Mus musculus: one gene and its partners. The protein of the gene in region 2 purifies or fractionates together with the protein of the main gene of each other region. This does not show direct contact. Links are inferred from orthologs where the notes say so. Each region holds a gene or a part of one and is shown on either strand. Other genes may lie near its edges. The genes, in order: Prpf6, Ddx23, Snrnp40, Prpf8, Eftud2, Snrnp200 and Sart1.

Region 1 (3,906 bases), on a different chromosome or scaffold from region 2:
AGGTAGCAATGTGAAGGTAGTTGCACCAGAATCTGAACACTCAATGCCACTTAAAACCAAATTGGTCTAAGGCTCTGTCTCCACCAGTGGCACAGTCCTGTGCTGGAAGGTGATAAATCACTTGATGACATTGCAGTTCATATGAACCATGGATAATCATTTCTGTACTCCAGGACAATGGATTACAGCAGGTTATTCCCAGGGTCACTGAGCTGAAAGGGTCTGAGTTCTGCTAACACAATGAAAGTGCAAGCCTCTTGGCTCTCTGGGCAGTGATGGTGATAACTTTAGTCCCACCAGTTCAGAGGCAGAGGCAGGCAGATCTCTGAGTTTGAGACTAGCCTGATCTACAGAGTGAGTTCCAGGACATTCAGGATACACAGAGAAACCCTGTATCAACAAACAAACAAACAAAAAACAAACAAACAAACATCCAGCCAACCAAACAAACAAAAAACCTCTCAGATAAAGCCCCTTCAGTCAAATGGGCTTGGCTTAATACTTAAATTCTGTGTGGACCAATATCAACAAATCTGTCTTGCATGTAATCCAGGCCCCATGTGGTACTGAAACAAAGGCAACAGTCCCATCAGAAGCCTGGGACTGAGGATGAGCCAAAGAACCCAGGAGACCTGAGAAGAGGGAGTGACCAGACAGATGTCTAGACTGCACCTCAAGGCCTCTAGCAACAGAGTGCTGCCCAGAACGCTGGAGCAGGAGTTTTGGCAGCAGAGGCCCATGTAGCTCATCCTGTGCAAACAAAGTCAGAATAGCCAGGCAAAGAGGCTGGCAAAACTATACCAGAACCCCATGCTATCCCAAAAGAACAATTACTCACTTAGCCACAGCTAAAAGCACATGGGGGTCATGTTCACACTTCTTCAGGGCATCCACACTCTTGGTCTTTCTCTGGGGCCTTGCCTCAAGGAAGACAGCTTCAGACCACAGGATACCTGAAATTCACAAGCAAATATCTACCCCTCAGCCTCACTTCTGGCTTGAGAAATGCACCCTCTTCTTTAGGATTGCCCAAAAAGGGTATACTCAGGGCAACCACAAGGGTCTCAAACATCTAACCAGTAACCTGAATTATACCAGCCTTGCCAGAACAGAATCAGGTAGCTTTAATTCTTACCGAGTCAGCAAACAGGCAATGGGCAATGATAATCTGAAAGCACTATCACATACTGCTGTTAAAAATAAAGAAAGCAGCCAGGTGGGATGGTGCACACCCTTGATCCCAGCACTTTGAAGGCAGAGGCAGGAAGATCTCTATGAGTTTGAGGCCAGCCTGGTCTATAAAGTAAGTTCCAGGACAACACTCAGGACTGTTACACAGAGAAAGCCTGTCTCGAGAGAGAGGGGAGAGGGGAGAAGGGAGAGGGGAGAGGGGAGAGGGGAGAGGTGTACCTGCTAGTTCCCACAGAGGCTAGATGAGGGTGTGGGTAAGTCTAGCAAAAAACTCAAAACAAAAACCAAAACAAAAAACTACCACTACTAGCACAAGAAAACTTAGCAAAGCAGATGGTATATGACACTACTGTCCGACTACATTTCTTATATACCATATATAAGAAAAATAATAAAAGTTAAAACTTGTCTTAAGGGATTGGAGAGATGACTCTGAAGTTAAGCACACTGACTGCTCTTCCAGAGATCCCAAGTTCAATTCCCAGCAACCACATGGTGGCTCACAACCATCTGTAATGGGATCTAATGTCATTTTCTGGCACACAGGTGTACATGCAGATAGAGTATACTCGTATACATCTTTTTTTTAATAATTTTTTAAAGATTTATTTATTATTATATGTAAGTATACTGTAGCAGTCTTCAGACACACCAGAAGAGGGCATCAGATCCCATTACAGATGGTTGTGAGCCACCATATGGTTGCTGGGATTTGAACTCAGGGCCTTCGGAAATATAGTCAGTGCTCTTAACCGCTGAGCCATCTCTCCAGCCCCCATTTACATAAATCTTTAAAAAAAAAAAACTTAGAAAAATGATAGTGCCTCAGAACATGAAATCAAACTGTCCCATACTAAAACTGAGGATTTAGTCTGAAGTCTTTGTAACCACATCAACGAAGCTAGACTAAAATGGGACACACAGGATGTGTCTTCCAGGAGTCCCTGAAAGTCAACTGATCCCATCCCACAAAAGATTTCCTCTGTGCCATACGACACACATGGCCAGGAGTCCTTACCAGAGTTAGGGCACTCCTGCAGCGCCTTGGCCATGAGGGTATTGGCAATGTTCTTCAGCCCTGCCCGGTACTCCAGCCGCACTGACTCCAACCTAGGAAAACAGGCCCAGGGATGGGACATCCCCATCTATCATAGCACAACCAACTACTTCAACTGGCCTTCTGCCAGAGAGACCCTTTTAAAAGGCTTTTGCATTTTTACTTTATTATTATTGTCATGCTACCACACATAGGTGGAAGTCAGAGGACCACTTTTGGAAACACTGGGTTCCACTAAACTAAATGCAGATTGTCAAATTTGCTCAGTAAGTGATTCTTCCCCACTGCCTGTAAAGGAAGGCTCTTGTCTCCTAGAAGGGGGTTAGAATTTCATTCTCTACATGGATGGTAGTACTGGTGTCCAGTCTATAAGAAGGCAGCATTCCCATCTAAGATCCCAGACTCCACAGGATCCAGATACAAGTGAAGACAAGGGAACAAACACAGACCATACATGATCACTACATGGCAGGCACCTAAGAATGACAACCCCCGTCCCCCAGCAGTGTCCTCTCTCATCTCTGTCTAACCCCTAGCTGGACTCTGCATCCATTACCCACACCTCGTCATGTGGCCCAACCTGGCATAACTCACTAGCCTTCTCCATTGATCTTCCAGGTACTAGGGAATATTAGTACCACCATACTCAGCTCCCTCTAGCAAGTTTCTTCATGTTACTCAAGGCCTTCTTGTTACCTCTTTTATAGTCCACTTTCTCAGTTCCGTTCCCTGACATCTCAGAACACGTCATCAAAAGTGCACTTACCATCTAGACCCAGCTCTCCCAAGCAGGACTATGACCCTCATAAAAGCTGTCACCTATTATTGAGTCCACAGGAGACTGGGTAAAATGAAGAAGGAACTGAGGAGCCTCAAAGGGGGAAGTGAGGTGATTACCGAGAACTCACCATAGCCCAGGGTTCTTTGGGTTTTTCAGACGAGATTTCTCTAAAATGGCCCGAGCACGTGTCAGCTGCCCAATCTTTTCCTCTAGTCGGGAAAGCAAGAGCCAAAGCGGTGTGGAATGAGGACATTTCTTCAGCTGTGACCAAAAAATTGTACAAAATAATAGTTCAGAGAGCATCTACAAAAGACTGAGAACTGTGGTCAGCTCATAGGAGCACTTTAGGGCTGTTAAGACACGTGCTTCATACTCGACATGGCTCTACAGTGTGCACATGCAAACAGGTATGCATCGGGTTACTGTGTGCAATTGTGTTGTATACAGGTACAGTAAAGGATGCCTGTAGGACTCTGAATATGTGTCATGCACATGTGTACACAGGGTGTGCACTTTGTACACAATGTGCTCATTGTACGACTTTTGATGTACTGAACAAACCCTATATATCCCAAACACAGGGTGTGCAACTTTGTAGGAAAAAAACACAGTACCCACAGTGACAGGAAGAACAAAGGCTCAATTCCAAGCACAAAGTTCTATCCCCGACCACTGGCCCTCCACTTCTTTCCCAGCGTGGGAATGACTGCTGCCATGTCATGCTGCCGGGTTCCCTGGGATACCTTGACAGAGGCTTACCCCCTGGTTGTAGGCCTCCCGGGCCTTCTCCATCAGTTCTCCCTGCTCCTCAATCTGCCCCTTCATCATCCACAGCTTGGGGAAATCTTCATAGTGCCTCAGAGCCTCCTCACACAGC
Region 2 (3,906 bases):
AGGCTAGGGAGCACTGTGGGAGGAGAGAGGCTAGGGAACAATGTGGGAGGAGAGAGGCTAGGGAGCACTGTGGGAGGAGAGAGGCTAGGGAGCACTGTGGGAGGAGAGAGGCTAGGGAGCACTGTGGAAGGAGAGAGGCAGAGAGCTCTGTGGAAGGAGCAACACTGAGAGGTCTACATGAGAATTCCTCTCATCTCCTTACAGGATCTCTCCATCTTCTCTAAGGAACGCCTGCCAACACCATGCTTTAGTAAGAACACAGGCTCTGGCTATGAACTCTTCCCCCTTTACAGGGCCCACTGACAGCCGTGTTGGACTGCAGCCGAGTTATCACCCTCACCATCTATAAAACAGTGTACAATCTCTACCACTACCTGCTCTCACATGGCTGTTGTGATGCCCATTAATTACTAGCATTATTGTTAGTATATATTAGTGTAATTAATTAGAGCTCATTTGAGAAACTAACCTCACAGCCCATGCGTAGCCGGAAGCCTTGGTCTTCTCTGGAGATGCCACCGATGACAGCCACAGTGCGGATACCGAGTGGCTTTCCGAACTTGATGGTTTCTTCCTCAATCTGCTGAGCCAACTCACGGGTAGGAGCCAGGATGATGGCATAAGGGCCCTGGTCTGACTCTTCGATCCTGTGGTAAATGGGGTATCCCACATCTCCATAAGCTTTGGTCTCATTGACCACAAGCAGGAACAAGACAAAGTTACTCTTAGAGCAACTATGGGAATGGGCAGGTTGGTGATCCCATGTAAAAATCAGACTACAAGATAACCCAGGGCATATAAGGTTCTCTCAACAGACGACAAACAAAACAGCTACTGATTCTAGTTTGCCTTATGTCGTACCCAGCAATGCACCCAACTGATGGCGAGCTGAGCCTACCTGTCAATCTTGGGAAGTGTGGTGATCCAGACTAGCAATGGGATGAGGAAGGCTGCTGTCTTGCCACTGCCAGTCTCAGCTACACCAATGATGTCACGATTCTGCAGCCCAATGGGAATGGCCTGACGCTGGATAGGTGTTGGCTCCTACAGTGGCCCAGAATAAAAGTAATGGGTAGAGAATCACACCATCTGGGATAGAGCTAACCCAGCGGGCAAAGCATGCTCCCACCATATACCCGAGACACATAGGAAAGGGGGCCCAAGGAAAAACACAAGCCCTAAAGGCCCACATTTCCACCACAAAGTGACAGGCATAGTTAAGTTTGGTGCTGTGGGCAGAGAAGACGAAGGATGGTGAAGGAACAGAGCTCTCCAGTCCCAACTACATTTGCAGTCCTAGAACGTAGGAGGAGCCAGCGGAAGCTCTGGGTCAGTCTGCCCCTTTACCTTGTAGCCACACTTATCAATGACTTCCAGGATATGAGGGGGCAGAGACGAATCTTTCCAGGACCGGATGGGATTGGGGATCTTGCCACCTTTGGTGGTGATGCTGTAATCTTCACGGAAGATCCGCCAGTCCCTGTCCGTCATCTCATCCAACTTCTTCTGGGACCAATGGCGGTCATCCCAGCGTTGCTTGGCCTCCTTTTTGCGAAGTTTGCGGAGTCTTGCTCTGAAGAAGACATGATTGGAGGTTAAGCGAAATCAGTTTACTCCTTGTCGTGGCCTCCGCGCTCTGCCCAACCACCCTAAGCCCAACGACTCACTCCTCCTGCTCCTTTTCCTCCAGGGTTCGCCTCTTCTCCATCAGGTCTCCATAGAAACGTGACTGCTCTCGCTTCTGCTGCTTTAGGTCAATGCCTGCAATGAAGCCTCGCCCCAACAGCTGCACCTGGTGTCGTTCTTTATACCTGCGATGCAGACAGAGAACTGAGCAGTTCACGGCAAGGGCAACCTGCTGATGGGCACCGATTCTCCCCCAGCTCAGAAAGACTGGTCAATCCCTGCCTCATCCCAGACCCGCTTGCTTTTTCTGTCACTAGCTCTTCAGGACCACCCAGTGTCCGAGCCCCAGGATGTGGGCACGGAGCCACTCACAGGGGGTTGTAATCAATGGAGGTGTCTTCAGACGCATCCCACTCAAACACAAACTTTCGGTCATTGAGATGCCTTGTTCGGCGCCGTTTTTTGATGCCACCCAGGTAACGCTCCTATCAAGGAAAGCACAGAGCTCGTCAGCTGAGGTCCTGACCTGAGACAGAGAGAGAAACGACCAACCCTGGCCTCTGGGGGGGGGTGGGGGGGGTCTCGGCCGGTACCTTAATGGCGTGCAGCTCCTTGCTCTTGTCCTTTTCTTCCCGGATCTTCTGCCGCCCCTCCTCATCCTCATTTCCGTTGGTCTCCCGCTCCATCCTTTCCCTCCGTTCTCTCCGTTCCCTTTCCTGAGGATCTTCTGCAGACAAAGAAGAACAGCTGTGGAAGAGCTCCGTGGGAGGGAGAGGCTCGGAAAGCATGCAGGCAATCAGGACATGGGAGGAAAGCGAATGGACGTGGGGTGGGAAGGGGACCTAACACATTTCCATGACCTTTCACCATTCCAAAGTCTGGAACAAAAAGTCTCCATCTTCCGCCCTCCCATTCTTTTTGCAATGGTTGGCGATCAGACCCAGGGCCTTTTGAATGGCAGGCAAGTTCTACCAGGAGCTATAGCCTAATTTCTATCCCTCTCCATAACTTCACCCCACCCTTTCTACTCAGGACAGAAAACAAACCCAGCATCTTCCTGCCCAGGTCCTGGAACTGTTTCCTTTTCTTCCGCTCCTCTTCGAGCATCTTCTGGCGCTCCTCCACCTCCTGCTGCCGCCGCTTCAGAGCTTCAGCCTCCCGCTCTGCTTTAGAGAGGAATTTGGGCTTCAAGACAGAAGGGAATGGTTAACAGCATCTAGCCACATCACTGCCACAGAGACCCAGGAAGGCCCTAAATATTCACTTAACATAGTAAATATTCTGATAAAACTACATAGAGGCCTAGGACTCTGGCATGGACTGCAGGTACAGCCAGTCAGGTGGCATGGTGGGAACACAGCAGCCTCCTGGCATGGTAGTTCCATGAGAAAATAACGTATCAATACCGAGGAGACGAGCCCACAGAGGTGACTGTAAGGACAGAAAAGGCATCGGCATCGGCATCTGTGAACGGGCCTCAGTGGAAACCACTGGTACTGCAGCCGAGACTTCTCAGTCCTAGAGCTCCAACGCTGAAGCTGCCCAGTTGTGGCATTTGTTAGAACAGCCAGAGCACATGAATCCAGATGCCACAGCCTTACCTTAGCTTCAGCTTCCTCCTCAGCCTTTTTCTTGGCCAGAAGTTCCTCCAGGGACAGTGGCTGGATCTGAGCATGAGACATGGGAACTGGGTTTAGAAAGATTCTCCCTCATGGAACTAGAGACATGGCTCCGAGGTTAAGAGCACTGGCTGCTCTTCCAGTACCCATATGGAAGCTTACGACTGTCTACAACTCCAGTTCCAGGGGATCTGACTGCTTCACACAGACATACATGCAAACAAAACATAATGCACATAACAAGTATAAAGGAATCATTAAAAAAAGATTCTCTTCCTTAGCTGGGCACTGGTAGTAGCGGCAGTGGCGCACACCTTAACCCCAGCACTGGGAGGCAGAGGCAGGCGGATCTCTGAGTTCCAGGTCAGCCCTTGAAGGAGGCGCCAGCCCACCTTACCTTAGGTCGCTTGTCTCCATGTTCATCCTCGTCACCCTTCTTAGAATCTCTGTCCTTCCGAGACTTGAAATCCTTTCCTCGGCCAGGAGACAAGCTTTAAGGAAAAAGAGGAAAGGTTCAGAGCTAAGAGAACAGAAGTTTTCTTAGTACTCAAGACTGGCCATGGTCAGCCATCACGACCTAAAGCTTTCTTAAGCAAGGCCCAGTCCCCTGCCTGCTCTGAAACCTATTTATGCCCCATCTCGACTCCACTCTACCCGAACT
Region 3 (4,486 bases), on a different chromosome or scaffold from region 2:
GCGCTCTTGGTAGCATGGGCCTATAATTCCAACACTTGGGAGGCAGAGGCAGGAGGATTAGAAATTCATTCTGACTACATAGCCAGTTTAAGGTCAGCCTGGGCTACATGAGCATGACAGAAGGAGAGTAGAGGAGGGGAGGGAGGGGAAGAGAGGAGGAAGGGGGAGGGAAGAAGAGAAAGAGAGCAAAGAAGAATATATAACTCCAACCGAAGCAACCTACTTTCCAATTAGTACATTTCCTTCCTTTTATTTTACACATGCCCTGCTTTAGCATGACTATAGTTTAACTTGGCAATTTAGACTGATGTCTGAGGATTTCTATGGCACTCAAAATTAAAGAGATCATTATTAGCAGAGAGCTGTATGTAACTCCAGTTCAAAATTGTGCCTTACGTATTAGCCGGTCAAATCCTGCAGAAGCCAGGGTGGATCCATTGGGGTGAAACTTGCAGCAGTACACTTCCCCCTCATGTCCCGAGAGCAGCATGATTGGAGCTTGAAGGGAAGAACACCTGGGCGGTCCCTAAACCAAAGACAAGTGTGAGGCAGCCATTGTCCACAGGCAAAGGAAAGCTGGGGCAGCGCATCTCATCTGGGTCAGGGATAGCACAGATCTCACCTGGGTCAGCGATAGTACCCCTGCTCACAGAACTCTCTGACAATCCCTTGGACAGTCCAGCATATGCCCAATGCGCTTTTTTCTCCCTAAGGCTGTCTCTGTTCCACAGACGACTTCTGACTGCTTGATCATGTTGAATCCACTTATGCTTCAGAATCTTAACATAGAAAGATGTCTTTCACAAGAGACCTTCCTTATTTTGTATCTTTTAAATATTTCCTCCTCAGAGTCTGTCTTTCATCACTCAAACTAACCTACTTTGAGTGAGGTACCTCCCCACACCAGTATTCCACTAGCTCCAGGGCAGGCGGTCAAAGCCCCATCACTACCTGAATTTCCCTTTCTTGCCTTTCTTTTTCCCCAAAGAGATGAAGCTCTGGGAGTACAGGTACATTCTTCATTTTAGTCACCATTTTCCTGTCTCAAGTTCACCCAGCTAGCCTTTGAAAAACCTTGTATGGTACAGCTTATTACGCAAAATAGATTTTGGGGGAATGAGCAGGGTCTTAATATGTAGCCCAGGAAGGTCTTAAAATTTTCAGTCCTCCTAAGAACAAGTGTGTATCACTGTGCCAGGCTTAGCAAAGTAGATTTGATTATGATCTTGGAGAATAAACCTAGGCAATCTTACTCATTAAATAAGAACAAGTGTACTACCAATAATCCTGAAATCTCTTTAGCAGATTCCGGCAGACTTACTTATTTTTATTATCATGTACTATCTATAAGCAATGGGTTTCATTTTGATATATCCATAAATGCAAATAATGTACCAAGATCATACTCATCCAACATTTTTATTCAAAAAGTGTCACATGTTGGCTAAAGAGATGGCTCAGTGGTTAAGAGCACTTACTGCTCTTCTAAAGGACCCAAGTCCAGTTCCCAGCATCCACAATGGGCAGCTTTCAAGGGCTGTAACTTTAGGGTCAGAGGATCCAACATTCTTTTCTGGCCACTGAGTTCCCCCTCCCCACATATGAAACACACACACACACACTCACACTCACACACACACACACACTCACACACACACGCCTAAAACAGCACTCAGTAAAACAGTAGACCTTGCATTCTAGTGGAAAGTGAGAGAAAGGCACACAGAGCCACCCAGTGCTGAGTGCCATGGGAAGAAACAGTATGGGTTCCAGATTACAGGACACTCCAACTTGAAACACAGTGGTCAGGAAAGCCCCTCTGAAAACCTGGTGTCTGAGCAAAGATTTGAAAGAGCAAACAGCTGACCATGTGGGCATTTAAAAGAACATTCCAGCAAAAGCACCAAGGAAAGAAAGAACATTATAAGTCGGTGTCTTGAGCCAAGTGACATGCCAGAAAACTGGTAGATGAACAAGGTAAGGAGGGGATTATTACAGAGAATTTGATTTTTAAAAAAACGCACAATAGAAAGCCAACATAATGTTTTCAGCAGAGTATACCATGTGACTTAATATTTCCATGATTCCCCTGGCTACTGGATTAATAACCAATCCTTGGTTCAAAGACAAAAACCAGGAATACTAAATTAAGCTCTACCTGCAGTGATGTCAGATGACATAAAAACAGTTTTAACAAGAAGGTAAAAAAAAAGATCATAGTTACACAGATCTCTTCTCTTCTCTCTTTCAACAGGACTTTGCCATAATAAATAGCCTACACTGGCTTGGAGCCATGGATCTTCTGGATACAAAAAAGTTTGCCTTCCCCATTTGCAAAGTAACAGCTTCTTTCAGTCAGGTACCATGGTTAATGGAAATTTCACACGCAAAACATCCAAGATAACATCCAACGAGTGTTAATTACAATTATAAATGCAGAGAAAGAAAAAAGTTCTACCAGGTAGTAAAGCGAGCTATCATTCATTTCCATTGCCTCCCCTCTCATTCATTCGTCCACTCTGCAAACTTTCCTGAATGTTTCTTTTATGCTAAACCCCTGAAGATTTAGGATGCGGAAGCTTGGGTCTTGATTTTGAGGCCAAGGTTTTAAATGATTCAATGCCACTGAAGGGCTGAAAACAGGCGTCTACTAGGGAAACACGTATGAACCACACAGAGAACACCAGGCACCTTCACAGAAGCCTATTTTAACTTCAGGCTCACTGTCTTTCCGTTCCCTCAGAGGCGACATCATCCGTAGGAAGAGGGGCGGAGGGCCAAAGGCGGGATGACTCCCCACTTACCGCCTGCAGCAATGCCCCTGGAGTCGCCTGCTGCGGCCCCGCTCCGGGGCCGGCTCCTGCCGCTCCCAACAGCAACTCATGTCGCGGCCGCTTGACGGGAACCAGGGGTAGCTCCGGGCCCTTACGCTTCTGCTGCTCGATCATGGCGGCAGCCACTCTCCTCGGCGCCGCCACTAACCGCGCCGCCGACCGGAGGCGCCGCGCAATTGGTTCCAACTGAGTTCTTCCTCCAGAACTTCCGGAGAGGAGCAACCAATTGGCTTCTAACATTTCCTTCTGGAAAGCCCTCTGAATACACTCTTGTGATTGGTCCCATTCTGATGACGTCACGAGAAGGCGACTCTGGGATTGGGTCGCGGAGCTGGCGTTCTCCCCCGCCCCCTCGGGCGCGCAGTGCATCGTGGGTGAGAACGAGCGGAGCAGGTTTGGCGTTCCTAGCTATGAAGCGGCTGTCCTGCTAGGCGCGGACGCGGAGTGAGTGTGTGGGGAATCAGGCGGGTGGCTGTTCCAATCTGGAAGGTGCGAGGTGGTGATAGGCCTGAGCCTGCCCTTTTCAGCTATCAGCCTTAGCAGCATGGGGTGGCAGGAGGTGTCGCCGGAAAGAGAAGTCCCTTGGTAGGCTGGAGCGGAGCTTTGGCATCTCTGGCTCCAGGACTCGAACCCTCAGACGGCTATCCCTTGACAGCTGCTCTGCAGGATGCCAATTCTGCGTCTAGCTCTGTGCTGGCCCGAGTCCTGGCCTCCAGGCTTCAGTGCCGGACTTGGCTGAGGCGGCGGACTTAGTTGTCACTGATTTAGCCGTCTTTTTAAAAGGGCTTTAATTTATGTCCCCGAGACAGCCAGTGATGAGGAAAGTATCAGATGGTTCTTCCGAAGCACAGTTTAGTTGAGAAATCGAACAATCATGCTTGCGTGCCAGGTCTTCTCGAAAGTGGTCCAAATGATATTTATTGTGCAGTGCGTTTGGGGGTCATTCTGAAGAAATATGGTCCTCTACCCCAGAGTGTGGGAAACGTGTTAAACAAATTTGATGTTAAACAAAAACCATTTGATCGGAAGACTACCTAAACAAGCGATGCCTCTTGCTGTGAGTTACTAATATAAACTTGAAGGCTTTTTAAAGGAAAAGACATCTGAGCGGTTCCTATCTGATGGGACGGTTCTAATTAGGGGAAGAGAGGAAGGGAGAACGTTCTGCACAGAACAGCAGGTTCTATCAGTCGGAAAGATGAGGGAGACACAAAGAGCCGGTGTGGGGGGAGAGAGAGAGCGAGAGCGAGAGCGCTAGCTTAAAGTGAATATGGTATGGGATGAACCTGGAAGTCATGAAGATTTGCAGGAAGTTGAAGCTTTTACTTTAAAATTAATAGGAAGCCAGCGATAGTTTTCTCTCTCCTCCAGAATGTGGTGCAAAAGAGGACTTGATCCCTCAGGCTTAATGGTGTGATGAGATTGGAGAAAGATAAGAGGTTTACTGGGAGTAAATAGACCATTTCGGGAGCATGAACAGTAGTTCTGATCAGCAATGCCAGTGAGAACCAAGCTGGAGCTGTGACTGAAGACAGGTTTAACAGTATCTTGAGATAGCAGGGGAGTAAATTGGACAGAATAGATTGGATGATGCTCTTAGTCCCAACACTGGAGGCTGAGACAGGAGGTCTCAAAACCAAAAGCAACAAAAC
Region 4 (4,535 bases), on a different chromosome or scaffold from region 2:
TCTCTCTAGATCCTTGGCTGTGCTGTACTGGAACTTGCTATGTAGATTTGGCTGGCCTTGAAAACACAGAGATCACCTGCCTCTGCCTCTCAAGTTCTGGGATTACCATCATGGCTGGCAGGGTTTTTATTTTTATTCTTCAGTTAATTTTGTTGCTTGAAGCTCCAGGCATTAAATCTAGTACGTTACTTCTAATAATCAAGCATTAAGCTCAAAATCTGGCGCCCTGAAGTCAGATTACCATGCTATGCTTGCCAGTGCTCATCATGCTGTGTTACAAGAATCTTTAGGCGTTGGGAGAGACAGCTTAGGGGTTAAAAAGATTTACTGCTTTTGCAGGGGACCCAGGTTCCCAGCACCCAAGTGGTAGATCATACCTATCTCCATTCCAGGGGAGCTAATGTCTTCTTTTAATCTCCCTGGGTACCAGGCATGTCCGTGGTGGGCAGACATACATGAAGGCAAAACATTAATGATTCTTTGTTTTGTTTTGTTTTGTTTTGTTTTTGAGGTTTGGTAAACACTATATAGCCGAGGAAGAATTTGAATGTCTTTTTGAAAAAAAAATATTTTATGTATATGGGTTGTTTGGGTTGCATGTATGTATGTGCACCATGTGTGTTCTGTATCTACAGAGGGCAGAAGAGGGTTTTCAGATCCCCCTAGAATCAGAGTTTCGGACAGTCGTGAGGCACCATGTGCTGGGGATCACACCAGGTTCTCTAGAAGAACAGCTAAAGCTCTTAATCGTTTAGTCCTCTTTCCAGGACCAGACTTTGAATTTATGACTATTCTGCCTTTAACCTCCCGCCCCTCCACCCCCACCCCCCACCCCCCACCAGTGCTGAGATCCTACAGGTCTATGCATTGCCAGAAATGGAATGAACCAAGGGCCTCCTGTACAAACTGAAGTACATTCCCATCCCAGATCATCATACATTTTTGCCAGCCTTCCTTCTGCCTTGGATGGTCCAAGAGTTATTTGACTCTTTGGTACATAGTTACCACTATTAACAGTAATGTAATGAAGGAATAGAAGAACAAAGGATTCATTGAGTAGGAGTTAGTACTACATATCAGCTCTGAATTCATGAGAATAAATATAGGGGAAATGTGCAACGTACGCAAACTTATTAAAATTGTATGGCTTTGGCTTTTGAGGAACAATATCAATAGCCAATTAAATGTCAGATCTATTAGAGAGGGCTCCTAAACTGACTGGCAGAAGGCGGGGCGTGAGCCTACCCTGACCACACCCCTCGCCCTGAAATCCGCTTTTAGACCCGCCTCTCCGGCTCGGGCTGCAACGTCAATTGGAGATGTCGCTAATCCATCAGAGCATCTCGGCGTCTATTGGATGAGCTTCTGAGCCTGGTTGCGCACTTCCTGGAGTTGGGAACGCGGAGCGGACGTCGTCTTTCCGCCATTGCTCTGCGAGCCTAGCCGCTACCTGAGTGAGGGGCGACAGGTGGGTGGTGGGCGTCTGAGGCTGAGCGCAAGGTAATCGAGTGGGCCGAGCGGCCCGAGGAGCTGCGCCAGGCCCGGGTCCCGAGCGCTCAGCCCGGCTAGAGTGCAGGCCAGGGGGCTCCGGACGTGTTCCATCTGCCCCTTGTGGGCCCGGGCCTAGCTCATTAGTTTTGGCCTGCCTCTCTATCCCAGATTCTCCCGGCATGGCCGGAGTGTTTCCTTACCGAGGGCCGGGTAACCCGGTGCCCGGCCCTCTAGCCCCGCTGCCGGATTATATGTCAGAGGAGAAGCTGCAGGAGAAAGGTGAGAGGCGAACGGGAACGGCGTGCGCGGGCTCGAACGTGTAGGCGGGTTTCATTTCTTCCCTCCATAGGCAGGTCATCAGGGGTGTGCTTATTAGCAGTATTTACATTTTTAAAAATTGAGTCCAATCATTGAAAGTTTGGAAGTGCCTGTTATTTTGCAGGAGCTTATTGTGTACGTGTGTGTGTGTAAAATGCATCAATGACGATAAAACCTGTTTCCTTATAGGGTTTGCATTACTATGTAGGAATTAGACAACAACCCTCCCCAAAACATCTATAGCAAAAATATCAGGTGGTTTGGGGTAGTAAAATGGCAGGATACTTGGCAGTGAGTATTTCTCTTCACAGCATGCCGAGGGTTGCCCCAGGGCAAGAGTTAGGGATAATTAGGGTAAATGTGTGCAGCCCTTTAAGCTGAGGTGCTTTTCTAGCTCGAAAATGGCAGCAGTTGCAGGCCAAGCGATATGCAGAGAAGCGGAAATTTGGGTTTGTGGATGCTCAGAAGGAAGACATGCCACCAGAACATGTCAGGAAGATCATTCGAGACCATGGAGACATGACCAACAGGAAGTTCCGTCATGACAAAAGGGTCTATTTGGGGTGAGTAACATCCCAGGATAATATCATATGGAGTTTGACTTCTTTCCTTCCTCTGCCCCTTCATTGACAGTGCTGGATAGAGGGACTAGCATTTGGAATGTGACTTTTTAACTGAGACAGTTTCCCTGTGTGGGCATTTTTGCCCTGGATTTAGCTCTGTAGACCGGGCTGCCCTTTAACCGATAGGGATCCCCATGCCTCTGCCTCCAAAGAGCTGGGATTGAAGGCAGATGTCACCGTGTCCAGCATGGAACATGGCTCTAGGCTGTACATAGGATGACTGTAGGAGTAAGGCTAGGACCACTGGGATTCTGTGATAGTTTCCAGATCGTCTACCTATGCCATTGATTGTTTTGCTTTGCCCTGCTGGTGTTGTTGTAAAATGTCTGGTATTGTGGAACTGTTTGAAGCTCAAATTAAGACACTAGGCATTCTGGATGCCTCTTTGGTCACTATCATTCAGAGGTTTAGGATAGTTCATTCCTGGGGTCGCTCTTTTACTGTTAATTCTTCCACCTCAAGCTGCAGAGATTCTTAACATTCCATTTGGATACAAAAATTTGGCCTGTTAATTAATTGATGTGGGGGAAGCCTTGGAAGTTTTTTTGTTTTGTTTTGTTTTTGTTTTTTTTCCTTTTTAAAGATTTATTTAATTCATTTATATGAGTGTACTGTAGATGTCTTCAGACACACCAGAAGAGGGCATCAGATCCCATCACAAATGGTTGTAAGCCACCATGTGGGTGCTGGGAATTGAACTCAGGACCTTTGGAAGAGCAATCAGTGCTCTTAACTGCTGAGCCATCTTTCTAGCCCCACCTTGAGAGTTTTATTGCAAAAAATAATTTCTTAGCCAAAAAATAATTTCTTAGCCAGGCAGTGGTGGTGCACGCCTTGAATCCCAGCACTCGAGAGGCAGAAGCAGGCTGATTTCAGAGTTCAAGGCCAGCCTGGTCTACCGAGTGAGTTCCAAGACAGCCAGAGCTATATAGAGAAACTCTGTCTTGAAAAAACCATTAATAGAAATAACAATACATGATGTGAATAAAAGTACGACGGCAAAAAAAAAAAAAAAAGAAATAACAATAACAACAACTTCTTGCCGGGCAAGGTAATAGCATACGCCTGTAACCCCAGCACTTGGGAGTCTGATTACTTTGAGTTTGAGGATGGCCTGGTTTACAGAGTGAGTTCTATAACTGATAAGGCTGGACAGAGAAACTCTGTCCTAAAAAATAAAACATCAACAACAAAAATAACTTAAGCAGCCGTGGTAGTGTTTGCATGTAATCTCTGCCCTTAGCTGCAGAGGCAGGAGAATCATGGGCTTGAGGCCAGTTTGAACTACCTGGTGAGATGCTCCATCAAAAACAGCAAAGCCACGTGTGGTGGCACAGGCATTTAGTCTCTGTGCATGGGAGACAGAGATAGGTGAGACTTCTGTTCTATACAGTGAGTTTCAGGCCAGCCAGGGCTATACGGTGGGACCCTGTCTCAAACAAACAACAATAAACATTATTACTGTTATTATTGAAACTTGCTTTTGGTCTTCAGTGAATAGACCGTATTGGTCCTTTTTTTTTTTTTTTTTTTTTTTTTTTAGGAGTATAAGTTTAGTGGTATGATGGATGAGAGACAAATGGTTACCACATAGAACAGGGAAGGTATTGGAATTTACAGGAAGGGTAGAAGGAAGTTGCTTTCAAAGGGACGGGTGTTAGTTTCTACAGACTGGGTCCCGCACCAAGACATTTGAAAGGGAGAGTGGTATTAGATGAAGGTGGAGATGAGGAGGCAGGACTTGTGATCGTGTAGGACCTTAGTCCTAATTTGGGACTTTGGAGTATAAGGCAGCATTTTGTGTGGAACACGTGATAACTGGCTTGTCAGCAGGGGACAGATAACAGAACCCTTAGTTCTTTCTCATGGTCTCTCCTCCTCGTTGCAGAGCTCTTAAGTACATGCCTCATGCAGTCCTCAAGCTCCTTGAGAACATGCCCATGCCTTGGGAGCAGATCCGGGACGTGCCTGTGCTGTACCACATCACTGGAGCCATCTCCTTTGTTAACGAGATTCCCTGGGTTATCGAGCCGGTTTACATCTCCCAGTGGGGGTGAGAAGGGCTGGAGTATGGTGGGAGGTGTTGGGCGCTGGGGTGGGGTG
Region 5 (2,908 bases), on a different chromosome or scaffold from region 2:
CTTGGCGATGGCTGAAGGGCGAGGTTCTCCAGACCTCTGGATCCTTCTGTGGCCTCTGCCTTGTCCTCCATGTAATTTTCTGCTCAGGGAACCAGGACAGCCCCTATAACTCCACTTACCATGAGGAAGGCAGAGTACACTACCCTCCTGGCTGTGGGAATGATCTGACCTCCACCCCGGTGGAGGGGTTCCTGGGCAACCACAGCATCCAGTATCTTAAACTTGACATTCCGAATCACTGAAAAGGAGATGGAAAGCGCACGGTGGAGCAGCAGGGTAATTTGCTACACTGAGGCCATATTGCAGCCACACAAAGATATGATACAGACAGCTCACATCCAGATCAGCAAGCCCAATAGCATATAGGTCAGCAGTTTAAACATTACTTAGCATTTGAGTCCGGCCACACTGTGACGTGTGAACATTCTTACAAGCGTATGGGCTGGTTCTGAGTAACTTTTTTCTGGACATAGACTGTGCTCTAGAAATTGTATTTGGAGGCCGGGCATGGTGGTGCACGCCTTTAGTCCCAGCACTCAGGAGGCAGAGGCAGGCAGATTTCTGAGTTCGAGGCCAGCCTGGTTTACAGAATGAGTTCCAGAGCAGCCAGGGCTACACAGAGAAGCCCTGTCTCAAAACAACAACAACAACAACAACAAAAAAAAAAAAAAAAAAAAAAAAAAAGAAAGAAAAAAAGAAATTGTATTTGGTCCCACAGAGATTATACTGCATCAATAAACCACTCCAACCTGATCACCTCATGTTATCTCATGTTATCTGTCTTCAACATGCCCAAAGACGGGCTCTACCCAGCAATTAGGATCCAGGTCAATCTAGAGATGCCTTCATTTTGGAGATGGGGAAGGAGCTGGGGGTGGGACAGGGGGTGAGCGGGGAGGAGGCTGGCCCAGTGTAATCTTTTCCTGCTGTGTCTGAAAGCCGTGAAGCCCTTCCCTGTGCCACCGCCTCCCATGGCTAGGTACAGGGTCCTGGGGAATGGAGCTGCGGGTTGAAGGTGGACTCACATTCATCGCAGAGGGGTCCTTCCCTGGTCCCCCACTGGAAACCTTGAACAATGCTGTCCTTCACTGAGCCGAGAAGGGCCTTGTCTACCTGCAGAAACATTAGGTCGTCTTAGCAGGCAGTGTTAGGAGGAGAAAGTACGGCTGTGAGAAGCCATCTTTCAATAGGGAAGAGGGCACTGCAGGTTCTTCATCTAGGGATAACACTTTGCCACAGGCATCCTATTGGTTTACCTCTGAGGGCAGTGTATCATCTACTAGGATGTTGGGGCCTGTAGCATCAGGTCCGAAGGCCCAGATGGAACGGGCAGCCAGCAGATCCCAGTCGTACTTTGTTTGGAAAAACTCTCCCAGCTTCTTTCTGGAGGAAAGAGGAGGAGACTCCTGGGGCCACAGATCCTGCCTTTCTGTAAGACAGCGGCCCACTCTACCCACACCATAGTCAGGACAACAGCGAAAGAGGGATGGTGTCAGGAGACCAGGCAAAGACGCCATAGTGTGAACACTGTTCCAACCTGTTCCAGGTGATCTGGACCACTTCATTCTCTATGTCCTCAGCAAGGCCCTTCTCAAGGGGCTCGGCAATCATGGTGATCTTGTTCCTGGTCAGAAAGGACAGGGGCAGTGAGAAGGTTACAGGATGAGTAGGGCCAACAGCACAGACTGCTGAGACAGCAAGAGAAATGGAATCTTGGAGCAAGTTCAGCAAAGGGTGTCTTCTTTCATTTCTGTTTTGTTTTAAAATACGTATGAGTTATTTCACTTGCATGTATGTAAGTGTACCACATGTGTGGAGTGCCCAAAGAAGCCAGACAAGAGTATTGGCTACTAAGGACTGGAAGTGTAAGCCACCATGTGGCTGGAAAAATGTTGGTCCCTCTACAAGAGCAACGAGTGCCTTTAATCATTGAGCCATCTCTCCATTTATCTGCTTTTTCTTGGAAAGTGCGGCTGGGGCTGGAGAGTGGAGCCTGCCAGCACAGCACGTGTAAACATGTGTGAGGAGCCATTTAAAAAAAAGGAACTGATGTTGAAGCTGGCATAGAGGCTTATGCTTTGAATCTCAGTGCTTAGCAGGCAGAAAGATCTGACACTTCCATGTAGTGAGCTTCAGATCATCTTGGTCTATGAGAGACATCAAAAATCAACTCACTCACACACACACACACACACACACACACCACAAACACACACACACACACACGCACACCTACACACACACCACAAACACACACATACACACACGCACATACATACACAATACACACACACACACCACAAACACACACATACACACACGCACATACATACACAATACACACACATACACCACACACACACCACACAGCCCCCAGACAATCTCAAGCAATTTCTCCTGCTGTAGAGCTGAGGCTGGGGCAGGCTTGGAGTGAGTGTGGGAGAGGAGGAGGCTGTCAGTCCCAGGTGCCCAGGTACATGTTGCCAGCCTCTATCATTTTCTTTCTTTTTCCCCAAGACAGGGTGATATGAGTAGCCCCAGATGGCTTAGAGCTTGCTATGCAGATGGAGCTGGCCCTGAACTTGCAGCATTCCTCCTGTCTTGCCTCCCAAGTGCTGGGACTACAGTCTTGAGCCACCATGCCTGATTTTTGTTTCTGTTTTTGTTGTTGTTTTTTAAGACAGGCGTTCACTATGTAGCCCTGACCCTGGAACTCATAACATAGAAATCTACCTGGATGCATCTTAAGTGCTGGGATTGAGGGTGTGTGTACCACCATGTCTGACTTTTTTTTAAGTAAAGAATCTAATAGGCACTCAAACTTGCTATGTGACTGAGGCTGGCCTAGAACTCCTGATCCTCCTGCCTCTATGTCCCAGGTAATGGGATTGATTACAGGTGTGTGCCA
Region 6 (4,703 bases), on a different chromosome or scaffold from region 2:
TCTGCAATCCTAGCACATGGGAAGCAGCAACAAAACCAAAGTTCAAGGTCATGCTTAAATACATAGTGAGTATGATGTCAGCTTGAGCTGCAGGAGACCTCATCTCACACCAACAAACAAAAGCAACCTTCAAGCCTAGAGGGAGCTGTTGAGGACTTAACACAGTGTTGCCTCATGTGCTTAAAACTAGTGAGCTCCTGGAGACAGCCCGAGCGCTTGGGCGTGGGGGCATAGGTGGTCTTCAGAAGCAGAAGACAACTTGCACAACAGCTTGCCACATGTCTCTAGGTGAAAGAGGCACTCAGCAGCCTGCCTCTGACCTGGAACATGTTCACTACTTCTCTGCTCGAATGGTACTGCCCTCCCCATCCTACTGGGAAAATCCAGAGGTAAGACTGGCTCACCTGATCTCCCAGCGCAGCCTGGATGAAGCTGAGCAGCACCTCGTAGGTCTCTCGGGTCTCCTTCGTCTTAGGCTTGTAGATGATGCCCACCATCTCATCAATGCCCTCAGACAGCAGCGTGTAGCCTTTCATCTTGTTCATGTCATGCCGGTCCTCATCACGTTTTCTCCTCCTAAAGGACATACAACATGATGCTGAATGGAAGAACTGGCCATTCCTAAGCCAAGCTTACCCTTTCTATACGTCTAATATGTGAAGGCAGGAACATGAATCAAAATGATTAACTCCTACCAGACCTTAGTGATTTGAAGAAGCACTTCTTTATGGGACAGATTTATAGAAAGAAAATGTGCCATCTTCTGATATGCTGTTACAATGAGATACAGTCTCCATTATCTTAAAATGTACATCTTTTTATATCCATATGAGATTTTATAATATGATTTAGACTTTTTTTTTAACCTTAGATGCATCCATCACTTTTTAGGAGTGAGAGAAACTAGGCTCCAGTGGAATTTACTCTTAATGACTCCCAATAAACAACTAGAAAAGACGTCAGACTCTGAAAACTGAAGGACCAAGGAACAATAATTAAGCTCTTCTAAAACATAAGCACTCAAATCAAACAGGGCCTGGGGATTGTTAAGACTCCATAGTAAGAGAGAGGAGAGGGCTGGAGAGATGGCCCAGCGGTTAAGAGCACTAACTGTTCTTCCAGAGGTCCTGAGCTCAACTCTTAGCAAACACGTGGTAGCTCACAACCATCTGTAATGGGATTCGATGACCTCTTCTGAGGTGCCTTCTTCATGTCTGAAGGCAGCTACAGTCTGAAGATGAGCTATAGTGTACTCATATACATAAAATAAATATTTTTTAAAAGGGGAGAGAGAGAGGGACGGAGGGGAAAGAAAACACAATTTTCCGGGAGGTGGTGGCACAGGACTTTTAATTCCAATCCCAGTGCTCAGGAAACAGAGGCTGGTGGATCTCTGAGTTTAAGGCCAGCCTGGTCTACAGAGCAAGATACTCTGTTCTGAAGAAAGAAAAGAAGAGAAAAGAAAAGAGAAGAAGAGAAAAGAAAAGCAAGGCAGGCAAAATAAAGTAAGTAGTATTTAACTTTTGAAATGAACCCACCAACATGAAAAGACAACAGAAATCATCAGGAAGTGCTGGGCAACAAAAGGAGAGAAGGGTTGGGGAGAGAAGCTTGTAACAACATGGTGGAGGTGAATTACAGAGAGGAGATTAACTCAAGTCCTGAAAACAGTCGGGGATGGGGCTGGAGAGAAGAGTCGAGTTGTTCACCCCAGTACTGCTTTCCAAGAGGACCCAAGTTCAGTTCTTAGCCCCACACTGGGTAACTCAAAACCTCCTGTAACTCTAGCTCCAGGGACTCTCAAACCCTCTCTGGCCTCCACACAGGCATCTGCATACGTGTGCACAAACCCACACGAACATACACATGCACGTAATTAAAAATAAAACAGATCTTTTAAAAAGATAACCGGAAGAAAATTAACATCTATGAATCAGAAACGAGTCAGTAAAAGGTATCAATAGATTTTGTTCCACTTCATTACACCTAAATCCAAAGAAGCTCTAAACCTTGGTTGTTGTGCACACACCACTCATCTTCCATATAAACTTGAGTAAAACTACTGCTCTAATGCTAAAGATGGGCTTTACATTAGATGGAAAAATAGCATCCAGCATCCCCTTAGTACTTACTTGGCCCGTCTTTCTTCCTGCATCTGTGGTTTGGTCCGTTGAGCCTTATCTCCCATTCGGGTTCCCTCCAACTTCCCAACCAGGGACAGAACCTCTCCCGTCGGTTCATCCCGGCGGGTCCGGTCAATGAGAGAGCGGTCAGCTTGGAGCACAAGATTTGAGTTCTGAAAAGATCATACTTTATCAAAACTTTGATATGTATAGTTTTGAATCCTGTTATTACAGTGACAGCAGATGATGGGAAAACAGTGGAATAAAAAAAAAATCATGCTCTTAAGAAGAAATAACATAGCATTACACGATGCGCGAGCACTATTGCTGTCTGAGAAGGTGAACGACCAGCGCTCCTAAGAGCATCCACAACAGCCCACATTTGGGTAAAATGTTGGGCACATTGCGGGTAAAGAGAAGAAGGTGCGAGTTTAGCGCTGAGGGGGCTGGGGAAAACCCAACTCCTAAATTCTCAAGCGCCCCAAATTCCACGGGGTTTTTCCTTCGTGTTTTAATCCATCCTTCACCCAGCTCTGATCTCCCGCTCAAGTGTCCGTGGCTGTCCACGACCTCCCCTGTCTGCACCGGTCCTTCGAGACCACACGCACCGCCTTGTACTCGTACTGCAAACTGCGGGCAGTCACATCCGCCATGGCTGCTGATGCTCCGGGAACTCAGGGTTCCACTCTTCTTCACGCTCCGAACCGCTTCAGCGAACCGCCCTGGCACAACAGGTACAACGCAGGACGAACGTAAGGGACGGAGAAAAGAAACGGACTTGCTTCCGCTTCCGGGACGCCCGCTAAACGTGAGACTTTCCGGTTACTAACCACTGCTTCTGGGCGGGGTTTGCGGAGATGTACAGTAGTACATCCGGGTCAAGGATTCCATTGACCGACGAGACACACGCGCGTGCAAATTGTGGTTCCAGGCATCTCTACCTGCGACAGAGCCAAGGCCCAACCCCTAAGCGTATGTTGAAAGTCCCTTTCTGTAATTCTTTTGGTTTCTCATACCAGCCATCCTGTGAGGCAGGCAGACATGCAGGCAAACGGAAACTAAGGGATAAGGAAGCTGAAGGTTCAAGCAAGTTAGCAAGACAGGCATGGTGGCGCATTCCTTTAATCCCAGCACTCGGGAGGCAGAGGTAGTGGATTTCTGAGTTCGAGGCCAGCCTGGTCTACAAAGTGAGTTCCAGGACAGCCAGAGCTACACAGAGAAACCTTGTCTCGAAAAACAAAACAAAACAAACAAAAAACCAAAACAACAACAAAAAGACAAAAAAAAAAAAAAAAAAAAAAAAAGCAAGTTAGCATGTACCTAGTTCTAGTAACCGACTGGATTTCTACCCCAAACCCCTTTCCGCAAGACTCTCCCCTGTGTCAGCTGACTGACGGTAGAGGAAGAACTATTTGTGCCCAATCTTTTGTCACAGCCTGTCAGGACTTTAGGTGTGCGGATTACAGCATATGTATAACTTTGTCCTCCTCAATGTGACACGAATGTTTTACTAAAGAAATATATGAAAAATAAATAATATGTATGGAATTACTATTCAGTTTTATTCAGCAGTAGTGGTACCTTTTATGTAAAGGTGGTATTTAGTCTTTTCATAATTCTCTACACAACACTGAAAGCAAAACAGTGAGTTCTGCTTTCCCTTGATATTTAATAAGCACGAGTGAACCTTAAGTCTGTGTCCTAATCCACCCAGCCATTTTGCTGGCAATTTTTTTTTATTGTTTGGTTTATCATTTACATTTTATTCTATGTAGATAGGTGTTTGGGCTACATGTATGTTTGTGTATCATTACATGCAGACTTCCACGAAGTCCAAAAGAGGGTGTCAGATCCCCTGAGACTGGAGCTGCAGATAGGTTGTGAGTTGCCATGTGTGTGGAGGGGTTGGAACCCAGGTCTTCTCAAAGAGCAGCCAGTGTTCATAACCATTAAGCCATCTCTCTAGCCCTTATCTGGTTTTTGAGAAAAGATCTCCTGGAGTCCAGGCAGGCTTCAAACTTGCTATCCAGAGACTTCTCTTGCACTCTTGATCCCCCTGCCTCCAACTCATAAACACCGTGGCTGCAGCTATGGATGGTTGTGACAAGCTGTACCTTATCATATTTAACAGTAAGAGCAGCATAGTAACCCTAGGTTGGACTCATTTACTTTTTTTCTTCTTTATTAGTAGGAAGAAGTTTTATCGTTTAGGGGGTCTAAGAATTTGCATTTCAAATATAGTTACCTTCCCAAATGGAGTTCCACTTGGAAGATATAAAATAAGCCCTTGTCAATTTTTTTTTTTTTTTTTTTGGTTTTTCGAGACAGGGTTTCTCTGTGTAGCCTTGGCTGTCCTGGAACTCACTTTGTAGACCAGGCTGGCCTCGAACTCAGAAATCTGCCTGCCTCTGCCTCCCAAGTGCTGGGATTAAAGGTGTGCGCCACCACGCCCAGTGCCCTTGTCAATTTAAAAACTGAATGTTATACTGAAAATAAGAGAATTATTTTATGAAAGTGTTGACAGTCTTGAATAACTTTAAAAATTATAATTTTTTTCTATTTATTTATTTATTCTACGTA
Region 7 (3,906 bases), on a different chromosome or scaffold from region 2:
CCCAGAGCAAGGGCTAAGGCACAGCTGGCGTCAGACTTCTGGGGTTCTCATGACCACACTCCGAGAGCTAAGATATGCCTATGGTGTCCATGTGGATGGAGAACAGCCCTCCCTTCCCTCTCCATGTTAGGAGAGGGCTAGAGGTAACAAGAGGCGATTCTCAGCAAAGCCCGAGTGGGAGTCAGAGATCACACGCCTCTGCAGCTCAGAACCCAAGTCAGTGACTTGCCTGTGGTAATCATTCAGCAGTGAGTGAAACTCAGTAACCAAATATGCGACATTAGACCAATGTCCCAAATACAAACCTAAGTCGCTAACCTTCTCCACCCGCTGACAGCGAACCTGGGTTCCTGTCTGCCCTTGGCATCAAGTCTCCTGCTACTTGGTAGCCCCTAGGCCCTGCTCTCCCTAAGGTGTGGCAGCAACAGCACCAACCCAATTTCCTGAAAATAAGTGTGAGCTTTTAGTTAGGTGGTGGTGGCACACACCTCTAATACCAGCACCCAAGAGGCAGAAGCAGGTGGATCCTTGAGTTCAAGGCCAGACTGTTCTACAGAGTTCCATGACAGCCAGGGCTACACAGAGAAACCCTGTCTCAAAAAAGGAAACAAAAAAAGTGACCTCTGACCAATGGCCATAGCCAGTAGACACCATAATCAAGCACCTGAGACTTAGAGAAATGGACACTCCTGCACAACCATCACTAGCCAAGATCCACAGGCACAGCCGAGAACACCAACTGACCTCACCTCTTTTATGGTCAGTGTCTCAGGAACTGCTACCTAGTATCACTTATAAACAACTGGGTTTCCTGTCTCTTGCTTTTTTCTAGTTATTTGATACACTCACCAGAGACCCACATGGGGCTAGCTTCAGTAACTGACACAGGGCACTCATCTTCTGATTCAAAGTAGCCACCTGTGGGGCAGGGTCCTCCCACAGCCTGTGGCTCAGCAGGGCTTCTTCCACAGCGCCTTCCTAGAAAGCCCATCTTTCCAGGCACAGTTGCAGGCACCTAGCAGGGTGGCTCAGTCCTCGTATATAAGTGCACTCGAGGTAACCCCTACCCCAGTCCTGGGATGACCCTCATGCCTCCACAAATGCCACAGTAACACAGGGGACAGGAGGTAACATCTCTACCCTTCCAGAGAGCCTAGGCAATCCTTACTTAGTACCCTGAAAACTGTAACCAGGACAACACAGGGTGGTTAGTGGCTCTCTAAGGCCTAGCAACACGCATGTGACCAGTCTGAAAACAGCAATGATTTGGGATCAAGAAGCCAATTTGACCGCAGTGTGACAGGTACACGCCACTGGGTGGAGGGCTTCTGTTACAATGGAGTCAGCTCACAGAGGAATGTCCTCTGAGGGACCAGGCTGGTTTCTCACCTCCTCTGTTCATTAAATGGCCAGTCTTACAGGCAGAGATCAGACTTTAAATCACACAGGTTCAAGGATCAGGCCCATCCGCTCCTGGATAACCAGAGAGTGAACGAAAGAGCTCACCGGCGCCTCACGCATGAAGCAGGTGTTCTGACCACTCGGAAGGCAACACAGAAGGGCGAGGAGGCTCAGCGACTTGCCAGATGGCAGAACTGACCGTGACAGAGGCCTTGCCTAGGTCTAACCTTAGACAGCAGCACAACCAAGAGGAAAAATAAGGAGGGAACTTTATTTAACACTACATCTGGGCCAGGGAGGAGGGCGGCTTCATTTGGTGATGGTGTTCCTGCAGGGAGAAGAGGGTGGGCGATGAGGCTGTGAGACTGGAAAGGGGATGCAGTGCCTCCCCACCCCTCCGGCTCCTACTCACGCATTCATGCTCTTGCCACTGCCACTGAGCACGATATACGGTGTCTTCTGGGCCTTCTGCTTCTCCTGGAGCAGTGCCACGGTGCCCAGGGGCGTGTCACTGGAGCTCATTTTCTTCAGGAGCTGTGGGGCCACAGGAGGTCAGAACAGGGGGAGCAGGCCCAGCATATCACACATCACCCAAAAATGCAGAGCCCCCACCTCCCTCCCAAGACCCACCGCCTCCTCATCCAGCTTCTTCATCCGCCGCTCAGTCTTCATCTTGCCTGAGCCCTTTCCGTGGAAGCGGTGGGACAGCTGCCGGAATGCCTGGGATACAGAGCAGGAGCAGAGGCATCAGAAAGGCCAGGCAGCCGGGATGTGGGCGCACGCCTTTAATCCCAGCACTCGGGAGGCAGAGGCGGGTGGATTTCTGAGTTCGAGGCCAGCCTGGTCTACAGAGTGAGTTCCAGGACAGCCAGGGCTATACAGAGAAACCCTGTCTCGAAAAACCAAAAAAGAATCCAGGGTCCAGGGTGAGCCTGCCTCTGGGAGCTGGAGTTAATGCCAGCAAACATGGAACCAGCATACAGAGATGGGAAGCAGCAGGGGATGCTGGTAGGCATACTCAGGGCACAGGGCTTCAGCTGTGGCAGTCAGCACAGGTGTAACCTTCCTGACAGCCAGCCTGTGGGAACTTCAGTACTACGCCCAAAGTCAGCAACGGAGGCAGAATTCACCTCGTCACCTGTGGTCTGACCATCTCCACAAGACCCTGCTCACCTCCTTGGGAGTCAGTTTCCTGCCCGTCTCATCCACGTATTCAATCTTAACATCAGGCTTGTAGCCATCTTTCTCCTTGAAGTCCTGGGTGAAGCCCCTGTACTCCTCCCGTCGGCTGTACTTGTCATCAATGGCCCTAGACCAAGGCAGAGGGGCTCAGGGTGAGCTGCCTGCTGCCTACCCCATGTTCACAGCTGCTCCTATTTCATGTCGCCACGGCCACACTTACATCTTATCCTCGATGCAGTACACTGCTGAGGGCAGTGACTTATTGGGAGCCTTCACCCGGGCCACCTTTTGTACTGTGGTCTCCAGCAGTCCTAGGGACAGAGAAGTTTTGACACCCAGCTTCATACAGGTCCCTCAGAGCCCTGCTCAGGAGTTAAACATGCCGCATCTTTACGGACATCAAAGATCAGCACTTCCCTAAGGAGGCAGCACAGCTGGGATCTGGCCCCAGTGTATCCGGTTTAGCCCACTTCTGAGGCACGGAAGAGAAGCAGACCTCTCACCCCGCAGCAGGAGAGGCAGTGAGAGGCTCCGCGTCTAGGGAGCTGCTTGAAGCCCCGAGACTGAGGGGAAGAGGAGTGGAAACCCAGGACACCATACAGTACTCACAGGCAACCATCCAGCCCGTCCCGGCTATAGTACCCACACTGCCAAGGCTCCCACCCTGAGCCCACACCTTTGTTCTGACACAGGAGCAGGGCAGCAGCCAGCCCTCTGTTCACGATGGGCTCCTCATCCAGGATGGTGGTAGAGGAAGCAGAGAACTAGAGGTGAGAAAAGAGAAGTGTGAGCAGGCTGCCCCATCTCTTCTATCCAGCGGTCATCCTCACCAGGCACTAGGCTGTGGGACCAGTTTTAACTGACCCCCAGCTGGCTCTGGAAGGGTTAGTGCCCCTTCTATGGATGGGTGGAGGCTTTCAGGCACTGGACAACTAGCCTGGGTCCCCACACCCACGCCCACCGGTGCTCACATCCTGATGCTGCTTCTCCTCATCCAGGTTGACGGTGCTCCAGCCAATGTTCTCTTCCCCATCTGATTCAGAGCCACCGTTGGCCGAGCGCTCCTCATCCCTTTCAAAGTCCTAGGACCACAAGTCAGTGTCAGGGTGGGCAGCCTCAACCCTACCTGCTACATTCAAGCACTAGAAGCAGAAGTCAGCAGCCTAAGGACAACAGCCAGGGAACTGCTGACGTACCATGAGCTCTTCCTGCTCCTCGCGGTTGCCAGCCAACCCGTAGGTGGGGATCTCCCCCAGCGTGCGGCAGAATTCAGAAGTGGCATTGAACACGATGGTCCCCTTCCTCTCAGGGTCCTCCTCCTCC

What was found.
Region 1: the proteins of Ddx23 (region 2) and Prpf6 purify together in Homo sapiens (affinity purification with mass spectrometry; 3 studies listed by BioGRID and IntAct, counting the BioPlex papers as one, with this or other methods). This does not show direct contact. The link is inferred for Mus musculus from reciprocal best matches to the Homo sapiens genes DDX23 and PRPF6.
Region 3: the proteins of Ddx23 (region 2) and Snrnp40 purify together in Homo sapiens (affinity purification with mass spectrometry; 3 studies listed by BioGRID and IntAct, counting the BioPlex papers as one, with this or other methods). This does not show direct contact. The link is inferred for Mus musculus from reciprocal best matches to the Homo sapiens genes DDX23 and SNRNP40.
Region 4: the proteins of Ddx23 (region 2) and Prpf8 purify together in Homo sapiens (affinity purification with mass spectrometry; 5 studies listed by BioGRID and IntAct, counting the BioPlex papers as one, with this or other methods). This does not show direct contact. The link is inferred for Mus musculus from reciprocal best matches to the Homo sapiens genes DDX23 and PRPF8.
Region 5: the proteins of Ddx23 (region 2) and Eftud2 purify together in Homo sapiens (affinity purification with mass spectrometry; 6 studies listed by BioGRID and IntAct, counting the BioPlex papers as one, with this or other methods). This does not show direct contact. The link is inferred for Mus musculus from reciprocal best matches to the Homo sapiens genes DDX23 and EFTUD2.
Region 6: the proteins of Ddx23 (region 2) and Snrnp200 purify together in Homo sapiens (affinity purification with mass spectrometry; 3 studies listed by BioGRID and IntAct, counting the BioPlex papers as one, with this or other methods). This does not show direct contact. The link is inferred for Mus musculus from reciprocal best matches to the Homo sapiens genes DDX23 and SNRNP200.
Region 7: the proteins of Ddx23 (region 2) and Sart1 purify together in Homo sapiens (affinity purification with mass spectrometry; 3 studies listed by BioGRID and IntAct, counting the BioPlex papers as one, with this or other methods). This does not show direct contact. The link is inferred for Mus musculus from reciprocal best matches to the Homo sapiens genes DDX23 and SART1.

Annotation. Positions count from the first base shown.
Region 1 is NC_000068.7:181,649,481-181,653,386, reverse strand, and holds part of Prpf6 (pre-mRNA-processing factor 6), read right to left. Parts: coding exon 3,789-3,906; intron 3,291-3,788; coding exon 3,157-3,290; intron 2,302-3,156; coding exon 2,210-2,301; intron 954-2,209; coding exon 839-953; intron 1-838. UniProt on the Homo sapiens protein: Involved in pre-mRNA splicing as component of the U4/U6-U5 tri-snRNP complex, one of the building blocks of the spliceosome.
Region 2 is NC_000081.6:98,649,246-98,653,151, forward strand, and holds part of Ddx23 (probable ATP-dependent RNA helicase DDX23), read right to left. Parts: intron 3,737-3,906; coding exon 3,643-3,736; intron 3,294-3,642; coding exon 3,228-3,293; intron 2,812-3,227; coding exon 2,673-2,811; intron 2,354-2,672; coding exon 2,220-2,353; intron 2,112-2,219; coding exon 1,999-2,111; intron 1,812-1,998; coding exon 1,668-1,811; intron 1,574-1,667; coding exon 1,348-1,573; intron 1,045-1,347; coding exon 899-1,044; intron 648-898; coding exon 470-647; intron 1-469. UniProt on the Homo sapiens protein: Involved in pre-mRNA splicing and its phosphorylated form (by SRPK2) is required for spliceosomal B complex formation.
Region 3 is NC_000070.6:130,358,668-130,363,153, reverse strand, and holds the start of Snrnp40 (U5 small nuclear ribonucleoprotein 40 kDa protein), read right to left. Parts: upstream 3,023-4,486; 5' UTR 2,949-3,022; coding exon 2,805-2,948; intron 527-2,804; coding exon 397-526; intron 1-396. UniProt on the Homo sapiens protein: Required for pre-mRNA splicing as component of the activated spliceosome. Component of the U5 small nuclear ribonucleoprotein (snRNP) complex and the U4/U6-U5 tri-snRNP complex, building blocks of the spliceosome.
Region 4 is NC_000077.6:75,485,422-75,489,956, forward strand, and holds the start of Prpf8 (pre-mRNA-processing-splicing factor 8), read left to right. Parts: upstream 1-1,355; 5' UTR 1,356-1,670; coding exon 1,671-1,770; intron 1,771-2,203; coding exon 2,204-2,372; intron 2,373-4,320; coding exon 4,321-4,485; intron 4,486-4,535. UniProt on the Homo sapiens protein: Plays a role in pre-mRNA splicing as core component of precatalytic, catalytic and postcatalytic spliceosomal complexes, both of the predominant U2-type spliceosome and the minor U12-type spliceosome.
Region 5 is NC_000077.6:102,840,145-102,843,052, forward strand, and holds part of Eftud2 (116 kDa U5 small nuclear ribonucleoprotein component), read right to left. Parts: intron 1,625-2,908; coding exon 1,538-1,624; intron 1,384-1,537; coding exon 1,257-1,383; intron 1,114-1,256; coding exon 1,026-1,113; intron 239-1,025; coding exon 120-238; intron 1-119. UniProt on the Homo sapiens protein: Required for pre-mRNA splicing as component of the spliceosome, including pre-catalytic, catalytic and post-catalytic spliceosomal complexes. Component of the U5 snRNP and the U4/U6-U5 tri-snRNP complex, a building block of the spliceosome.
Region 6 is NC_000068.7:127,206,567-127,211,269, reverse strand, and holds the start of Snrnp200 (U5 small nuclear ribonucleoprotein 200 kDa helicase), read right to left. Parts: upstream 2,885-4,703; 5' UTR 2,777-2,884; coding exon 2,732-2,776; intron 2,297-2,731; coding exon 2,133-2,296; intron 577-2,132; coding exon 405-576; intron 1-404. UniProt on the Homo sapiens protein: Catalyzes the ATP-dependent unwinding of U4/U6 RNA duplices, an essential step in the assembly of a catalytically active spliceosome. Plays a role in pre-mRNA splicing as a core component of precatalytic, catalytic and postcatalytic spliceosomal complexes.
Region 7 is NC_000085.6:5,378,407-5,382,312, forward strand, and holds part of Sart1 (U4/U6.U5 tri-snRNP-associated protein 1), read right to left. Parts: coding exon 3,780-3,906; intron 3,666-3,779; coding exon 3,555-3,665; intron 3,348-3,554; coding exon 3,260-3,347; intron 2,895-3,259; coding exon 2,804-2,894; intron 2,711-2,803; coding exon 2,575-2,710; intron 2,122-2,574; coding exon 2,032-2,121; intron 1,936-2,031; coding exon 1,814-1,935; intron 1,730-1,813; coding exon 1,711-1,729; 3' UTR 1-1,710. UniProt on the Homo sapiens protein: Plays a role in mRNA splicing as a component of the U4/U6-U5 tri-snRNP, one of the building blocks of the spliceosome. May also bind to DNA.